Linked DNA regions of Ovis aries. The protein of the gene in region 1 purifies or fractionates together with the protein of each later gene. This does not show direct contact. Links are inferred from orthologs where the notes say so. Each region holds a gene or a part of one and is shown in the gene's direction. Other genes may lie near its edges.

Region 1 (4,001 bases):
TTCTCTCACCCGTCCAGGTAGATGGGGTTGTTTTCAGGTTCAGTCCCAAGTGCCTGAACACATATGCACCCAAATCTTCATGTGGGGAGGGAGCTCAGTTGCCCATGTCCTCACTAAATCAAATGGATGAGAAACACCTGAAGCACTGCTGCTATCTTCCACTTTAGGGAGAGAAAAACCAGAGCAGGTGTGTAACCCTAAACTCACACTTGTTCATGTCCACACATCCCACACTCACCTTCTGTGGCCCCTACAGCCAGAAGAACACCCATCAGAGCCACATGGAGAAGGTATTTTCTCAGCACCAGATCCATCCTGTTCTTCCTTCCAGCAACCAAAGACTCTGGGGCATTGGACAAACCCCTGTATAAGAAGGGGGTGCTTATTTGCATAGCCCTTCCTCCCCTCCCTCCAGGCAAATCCTGGGAGGAGCAGAAGGATCTGAGAGACAGAACAGAGGAGGGATCCTGGTCCCTGGACATCATGCTACTCATTGACAGTTTCTGGCTTCACAGGGTCAGTCTCATCTTAAAGTACTCCATCTCCCCTCGCGGGGAAAAAATGACTGAAGGGCAGCTACAAAACATAACACGTACCGGACGCACAGGGTTCATCATTGGAGAGTGGATCAATCTATTGTGAGTCAAACCAGGAACCTCTCAAAATAACTGTAGAAGCAGCGACCCTGGGTCCAAAAACAGACAGTATTGGGGTAGGCTGAGAGAAGTGGGACAACGACTCTTCGGAGCCCTAGGAAACCCTTACAATGAGATTTCCAGTTTCCTGCTTTCAGAGGAGGCTCCAGGGCGAGGTGGAATTTAATACATATTTTCCTTAGGGTGGTGAAAACGGTGATTAGAGATCAGGAAATCCCTATAGACTCAGGACACAGAGAGAAAACTCGATCCCAAATCAGATACTTGGAAAAAGGTGTTCAGCCTCCCCATCCAGATAAAAATTTATCCTTAATACTCCTCGGAACCAAAGTTACTCGGGGTGGGGTCGTTTGCAGCGAGGGACACAGGGCTGGCCCCGCCCTCTCTGACGTAGACCAATAGGAAGATCTGAGGGAGGAGCCAGGGAAACGCGGGAAGGAGAGGCGGGGCTTCTGGTGGCGGTAGGGAACTAGAGGGGGGAGGCGGCAATATTGTTTCAAGTTGGACAAATTGACAAGAGCGAGAGATACACTACGTTCCATCCCGACCTCGGGTCGCGGTGCTGGGCCCTGTTTCCCTCCTCGGCCCCCGAGAGCTGGGTGCCGTTTTTTGCAGGTTCCCAGGCCCCAGCTCCAGGGCCGGGCTGACCCGACTCGCTAGCGCTTCATGGAGAACTTCCAAAAAGTGGAAAAGATCGGAGAGGGCACGTACGGAGTTGTGTACAAAGCCAAAAACAAGTTGACGGGAGAAGTGGTGGCGCTTAAAAAAATCCGCCTGGACACGTGAGTGGCCTCTGTACCCGGGAGTCCTGACTCGGGAGCTCCTTGAGTGCCCCCCACCCCCACCGCAACAGGCGGGTAGCCTTCCAGGGACCGGAAGGTAGCAGGGAGGGAAGTCTTTTGAAGTGGAGAGGTGGGTTGAAGGACGAGTAGAGGGTTTCCCGGTGGAGACTATAGGATAGTGTAGAATCCATGGGAAATTTCCTCCCCAGAGGCGGGCGATGTCCCCAAATGTACAGTCAGAAAGTGTCAGGAAGAGGAAGGAGCCTTTTGAGATGGGATCCAGGACTCCCCGACGAGGAGATGGGTTTTGTGATAAGTGGTAAAGAGCACCCTTATAAATGACTAGACCAGCCCTCAGTGCCCCAACCCCACCCGCATCTTAGAATTCTCTCTTTCAAAAGAATGGCAGTTGAACCTTACTGGCACCTCTAGAGAGGCTGGGTGTTGTTACTTCCACACACACACACTTTTCCCCCTTTTAACTTCACCAAGAGGCTTTGCTAACCCAGCCCTGGGCAAAGAAGATATGATGATCTTAATGGGTCTAAAAAGACACTCCTGTCCATCCATGATTTAACCACTGAAGCACCCTTTCTCTCACTTAATTAGGGGATGCTGGGTTGGTGGGGGCTGTGGGTGGGGTGGGGGGAATGACTGTACTGCTGAGGGAAAAGAAATATTTGTAACCACATTCCCATCTCTGCTTTCTCAACTTCTCCAAGTGAGACAGAGGGTGTACCCAGTACTGCCATACGAGAGATCTCTCTGCTTAAGGAGCTTAATCACCCTAATATTGTCAAGTAAGTATGTATCTGGGAGGTGGGAGGTGCTCTGACAGTAAAGGAGAATGTCTTCTGTTTGTATTGTCTGGGCCTTTCTCTCCCTCACGTGTATTCCTGGACCTCCCCCTTCCCTAGGCTGCTGGATGTCATTCACACAGAAAACAAACTCTACCTTGTTTTTGAGTTTCTGCACCAGGATCTCAAGAAATTCATGGATGCCTCTGCACTCACTGGCATTCCTCTTCCGCTCATAAAGGTACTCCTTCTCATCAACTCCTCCCCAACATGGGCATGTTTTGGGAGTCCGGACTGAAAGCAGGCAATCCGGACTGAGTGTTGATTTATCTTGGTTTCCTTCCCAGCCCTCACCCCCCTACACACACACACGCACACACCTTTTCTTGTGGCTCTTTCACTGCTCATTATGCTTTTAACCCTAGGGCTGGGCAGGGGAATCAAAGAAGTTGAAACTCTAGTAAGTCAACTTAGCAGCTCAGGTGGAAGGTTCTTGAGATGAAACTCGGATAAATGGGACTGGGGGGTACTTGGTAGATGCCTCCAGAAAGCCCTTCCACCTGTTTGGTGGGAGAAATAGCCAGTGAGTCTCTGTTGTCCATTTTTCTGGGTTCCTTACTCCGGAAGCTACTTTCGATCAACCAACAAACATCCAACACACATTTATTGAACACTTTCAATGTGCTGGTCCACGCTATGGAACATAAATGCAAAACTGAATGAGACCTGATCTTATCCTCAATGGGTTGACAGTCCAACTGGAGAAATAGCTTGAAAACATAATTACAATTTAACTAGTAAAGGCTTTAGTAGAACTTTGGAGTTACAGAGGAGACCCTAATCTGCTCACGGTGGTGGAAAAACAGAGTCTTTTCTTTCCCCTTGTCAGAGCTACTTGTTCCAGCTGCTCCAGGGCCTAGCTTTCTGCCACTCTCATCGGGTCCTGCACCGAGACCTTAAACCTCAGAATCTGCTTATCAACGCAGATGGGTCCATCAAGCTAGCAGACTTCGGACTAGCCAGAGCTTTTGGGGTCCCTGTTCGTACTTATACCCACGAGGTGAGTCCTCCTCTGCATGTCTTCTCTGAACTTCCTGGGAGGTGTTAACAAGGACATTCATAGAGTTTTTAGTAACGATCTGGCCAGCAGTTTCTCACTAGATGGAAAGTATTTCTGACACCACAAGAGGTCTTAGAGTATGCACAGAATTCATATATTGATAGATACCGAGCCAGGAGACAGGTGGAAGGCATGAAATTTAAAATTATGACCATTTGCCTCAAGTTTTCCAAGAAGGTTGCAAATTGAGGGTTCAGAATATATGTTCCCCAGAACCATGGATTAGGCTAACTCTGGGCTAAGAAGTTGTACCCAGTTATTTTACTTAGGGGCAATGAGAGTAAAGGGAAGGATGGAGGGATAGAAGTTGCTTGTGAAGAAATTGAGTTAGCAGAATAGTGTTTAGAAACTGACGTGTGGATATCTTCATGTCCTGTACTCTTTTCCTCAGGTGGTGACTCTGTGGTACCGAGCACCGGAAATCCTTCTGGGCTGCAAATACTACTCCACAGCAGTGGACATATGGAGCCTCGGTTGCATCTTTGCTGAGATGGTATGGAGGCATGCCCATGGTCTACTCAGCCCACTCCTTCCCACACTCAAGAACAACAGAACTGTTTCTTGGCCCAGACCCATGGTCCTTCTCTTATCACAGGGTTCTTCCTTTAGAGTAGCACAAAGGGGGTCATGGAGAAAGGAGAGGGCT
Region 2 (4,011 bases), about 130 Mb from region 1:
ACGTCCATCAAGTCGGTGATGCCATCCAGCCATCTCATCCTCTGTCGTCACGTTCCCTTCCTGCCCCCAATCCCTCCCAGCATCAGAGTCTTTTCCAATGAGTCAACTCTTTGCATGAAGTGGCCAAAGTATTGGAGTTTCAGCTTTAGTGTCAGTCTTTCCAAAGAAACCCAGGACTGATCTCCTTTAGGATGGACTGGTTGGATCTCCTTGCAGTCCAAGGGACTCTCAAGAGTCTTTTCCAACACCACAGTTCAAAAGCATCAATTCTTCGGCGCTCAGCTTTCTTCACAGTCCAACTCTCACATCCATACATGACTCCTGGAAAAACCATAGCCTTGACTAGACCTTTGTTGGCAAAGTAATGTCTCTCCTTTTGAATATGCTATCTAGGTTGGTCATAAATTGCCTTCCAAGGAATAAGCATCTTTTAATTTCATGGCTGCAGTCACCATCTGCAGTGATTTTGGAGCCCCCCAAAATCAAGTCTGACAGTTTCCACTGTTTCCCCATCTATTTGCCATGAAGTGATGGGACCTGATGCCATGATCTTAGTTTTCTGAATGTTGAACTTTAAGCCAACTTTTTCACTCTCCTCTTTCACTTGCATCAAGAGGCTTTTTAGTTTCTCTTCACTTTCTGCCAGAAGAGTGGTGTCATCTGCATATCTGAGGTTATTGATATTTCTCCCGGCAATCTTGATTCCAGCCTGTTTCTTCCAGCCCAGCGTTTCTCATGATGTACTCTGCATAGAAGTTAAATAAGCAGGGTGACAATATACAGCCTTGCCGTACTCCTTTTCCTGTTTGGAACCAGTCTATTGTTCCATGTCCTGACCTGCATACAGGTTTCTCAAGAGGCAGGTCAGGTGGTCTGGTATTCCCATCTCTTTCAGAATTTTCCACAGTTTATGATGATCCACACAGTCAAAGGATTTGGCATAGTCAACAAAGCAGAAATAGATGTTTTTCTGGAACTTTCTTGCTTTTTCGATGATCCAGAGGATGTCGGCAATTTGATCTCTGGTTCCTCTGCCTTTTCTAAAACCAGCTTGAACATCTGGAAGTTCACGGTCAAGCAAGGAAAAGTAACGGTAAAAGGTCGGCAGGCGTCGCGCGCAGCCTCGGGCTAGCCCCGCCTCAAGGGGCGGGCTCCGGGCGCTGATTGGACTGCGTTGGCCTCGCTCGGGTTGGCGGGAGGTCTCGAGGCCCGCGGTGCCGCGGTGGAGCGAACTGCGAGTAACCGTCTGAAGCGTAGGGCGTCTGTGAAAGGCTGGCAGCCGGTCCGGCCCTCGCTCACCAGGCTCAGGTTTCCGCAGGTACCCGCCGCTCGCTCTCCGGCTTAGGGCTTCGCCGGCGACTGTACAGTTTAGGTTGTGCCTGGCTCCTCCGTCCCGTCTTTCCTCCAACCCCGCCGGCCTAAATGTGTGAGGCTATGGCGGCGGCGTCTCGACCCCTTCTTCACACTTCCGCCCTTGAGTTTCCTCAGGTGCCGGTGGGGAGGCGGAGGCGTAGCGGTAGGACTGCGCAGAGCTGGGAGGAGCGGGGTGGAGGACGACGGTGCAGTAGAGAGAGGAGGCAGGGCGCTCCCCTCGGCCGTGTTTGTTGGAGTTTGCCACACTTTGCCCACCAGCTCAGCTGGTTGTGCCCACTAGTCGGCGGGGGAGAGGACAACGGAGACGTGTCCCCAAGGGCTCGTGCCCTCTCCTCAGCGGGCGCTTCCCCCTTCGGAAAGGAAGGCCTTTAGGAAAGAGCTCGCGCCTCGCCGCAGCCCGCCGGTCTTTTTACAGCTGAGCGCGGGATAGCAGTGTTTTTAATTCATCCTGCCTCTTGTGTCCCATTAAACGCATCTTTTTTTTCCAGGAGCATCTGCATCAGAATCCTGAGACCTGAGTTGCTGTATCTCAGGGCTATGCCCTTAGCCCATTTATCAAAATTTACAAATGTCCTTTCCTAGCATTTCCAGTACGACTGTAGGACAGCTAGCTTCAATTAAAACAAAACAAAACTTTAGAAGTAATTGAGAGCCTGTCTCTTTACAAACTTTATTCTTTGTCGTAAGCACATTAAAATATACCTATGGTGCCTGTTACCAATAAAGTCTTAACATTTAAATTACGTTTATTAGTTGAGGTGAAATTTGGTTATCTGTCATATTGGGACTCTCCTCCAAAGACACTTTCTGTTAAAAAAAAAAAAATACAATAATAGTGCTGCCATAGGTTGAGTTTTTGCCAAACATTCAGCACTGTGCATTATTCATATGGTTCCTTTCCTCATTAACCCTCCAAAATATGTATTATAACAATACCTGATAATAGGTAACTTTAAATGAATACTTACTATGTACCGGCTTCTAAAAAAAATAAGTGCTTTTATTATCTCAATATCACAAGCGAGAAAAGGGAGACTCCCAGAAGTTAAATAACCTAAGATCATATCACTGGTGAGAATCAGGTCTTAATCCAGGTCTCTTGTCCAGTATTTTAACATTTATTCTCAGCCAGTTCTGTCCCTTTGCCTTCAGTCATACTTTAAAATCCTGTCATATATAGTATGGAGAGTCCTTTAAAAATTAGGAATAAACCACCATATGACCCAGCAATCTCTTTCCTAGACATATACCCTGAGGAAACCAAAATTGAAAAAGACACATGTACCCCAGTGTTCATTTACAATAGCTAGAACATGGAAGCAACCTAAATGTCCATTGACAGATGAATGGATAAAGAAGTTGTGGTACATATACATAAGGGAATATTACTCAGCCATAAAAGGACTACATTTGAGTCAGTTCTAATGAGGTGGATGAACCTAGAGCTTATTATAAAGAATGAAGTCAGTCAGAAAGAGAAAGATAAATATCGTATACTAATGCATATATGGAATCTAGAAAGTGGTACCAAATAATTTATTTGCAGGGCAGCAATGGAGAAGCAGACATAGAGAACAGACTTAGGGACATAGGGAGAGGAGAGGAGAGGGTGAGATGTATAGAGAGAGTATCATGAACTTATATTATCATATGTAAAATAGCCAAAGGGAATTTGCTGTATGTCTCAGGAAACTCAAACAGGGACCTAGAGGGGTGAGAGGGGTGGGACGGGGAGGGAGATGGGAGAGAGGTTCAAGAAGGAGGGGATATATGTATACCTATGGCTGATTCATGCTGAGGTTTGACACAAAATTCTATAAAGTAATTATCCTTCAATTAATTTTTAAAAAATTATAAAATCCTGTCTTAAAAAAAGTTCTCATTTGACTTGCCATTCTCTTAGTATGTCTAAATGAAGAGCAAAAATTGAAGTTACCTAAAGTTGGATTTTGAACAAAAATGTATCATTGATAGCTTCTCTCCTTAAGCTCCTTCTCCATAACTCTTTTGCCAGTGTTTTCTTATTAATCTCAACGAATTGCCTCCTGTTTCTCTTTTCTCAATTTTTATATGAGGCAGAATAATGTAAAATGTGATCATTATTTTTTTGATAGAAAATTTGCATTCTGTTTCATCATATATCCCAGGTTGTTTTAATAAAGCAACACTTTTTAAGTTACTTAACATTAAGTAAAAATGACATCCTGGGAGAAGTTCCACCATTATTCTATTTTCTGGCACATCTGTCTCCCACTCCCTAAGCCTAGCCCTCACACCCCAATGTGAGAAGCGTGACTAGTTTTTTTCCATCTAGATTGTAAAGCTGCTCTTTCTTTTGGGGGAAAGAAGATACAGATGAGGATCTAGGAGGAGAGAGGAGTGGAGAGGAGGGAAGCAAAGTAGAGGAGAAGGAATTATATATAAAAGTAATTGAATATAACTTAGTCTGCCTAGTTCTTCATAATCTAGCCCTGTGCTGTCTAATATATGGGTAGCTACTAGCCATATGTGCTTATTAAACAGTTGAAATGTGGCAGGTGCAACTGAAGAATTTTTACTTTACAATTAAATATTAAAGGAATATAAAATATTTTTCCCTTACCTCCTAGATCATTGTTTTGGCAAGACTACATTTCA

Evidence for each region. Proteins that work in one complex are often made in the same cells at the same time.
Region 2: the proteins of CDK2 (region 1) and SPDYA purify together in Homo sapiens (affinity purification with western blotting; 7 studies listed by BioGRID). This does not show direct contact. The link is inferred for Ovis aries from reciprocal best matches to the Homo sapiens genes CDK2 and SPDYA.

What each region holds. Positions count from the first base shown.
Region 1 is NC_056056.1:163,556,693-163,560,693, reverse strand, and holds the start of CDK2 (cyclin-dependent kinase 2), read left to right. Parts: upstream 1-1,201; 5' UTR 1,202-1,322; coding exon 1,323-1,438; intron 1,439-2,160; coding exon 2,161-2,238; intron 2,239-2,355; coding exon 2,356-2,476; intron 2,477-3,124; coding exon 3,125-3,295; intron 3,296-3,746; coding exon 3,747-3,848; intron 3,849-4,001. Other genes in the region: melanocyte protein PMEL, read right to left, coding at 239-314. UniProt on the Homo sapiens protein: Serine/threonine-protein kinase involved in the control of the cell cycle; essential for meiosis, but dispensable for mitosis. Phosphorylates CABLES1, CTNNB1, CDK2AP2, ERCC6, NBN, USP37, p53/TP53, NPM1, CDK7, RB1, BRCA2, MYC, NPAT, EZH2.
Region 2 is NC_056056.1:35,729,575-35,733,585, forward strand, and holds the start of SPDYA (speedy protein A), read left to right. Parts: upstream 1-1,211; 5' UTR 1,212-4,011. UniProt on the Homo sapiens protein: Regulates the G1/S phase transition of the cell cycle by binding and activating CDK1 and CDK2.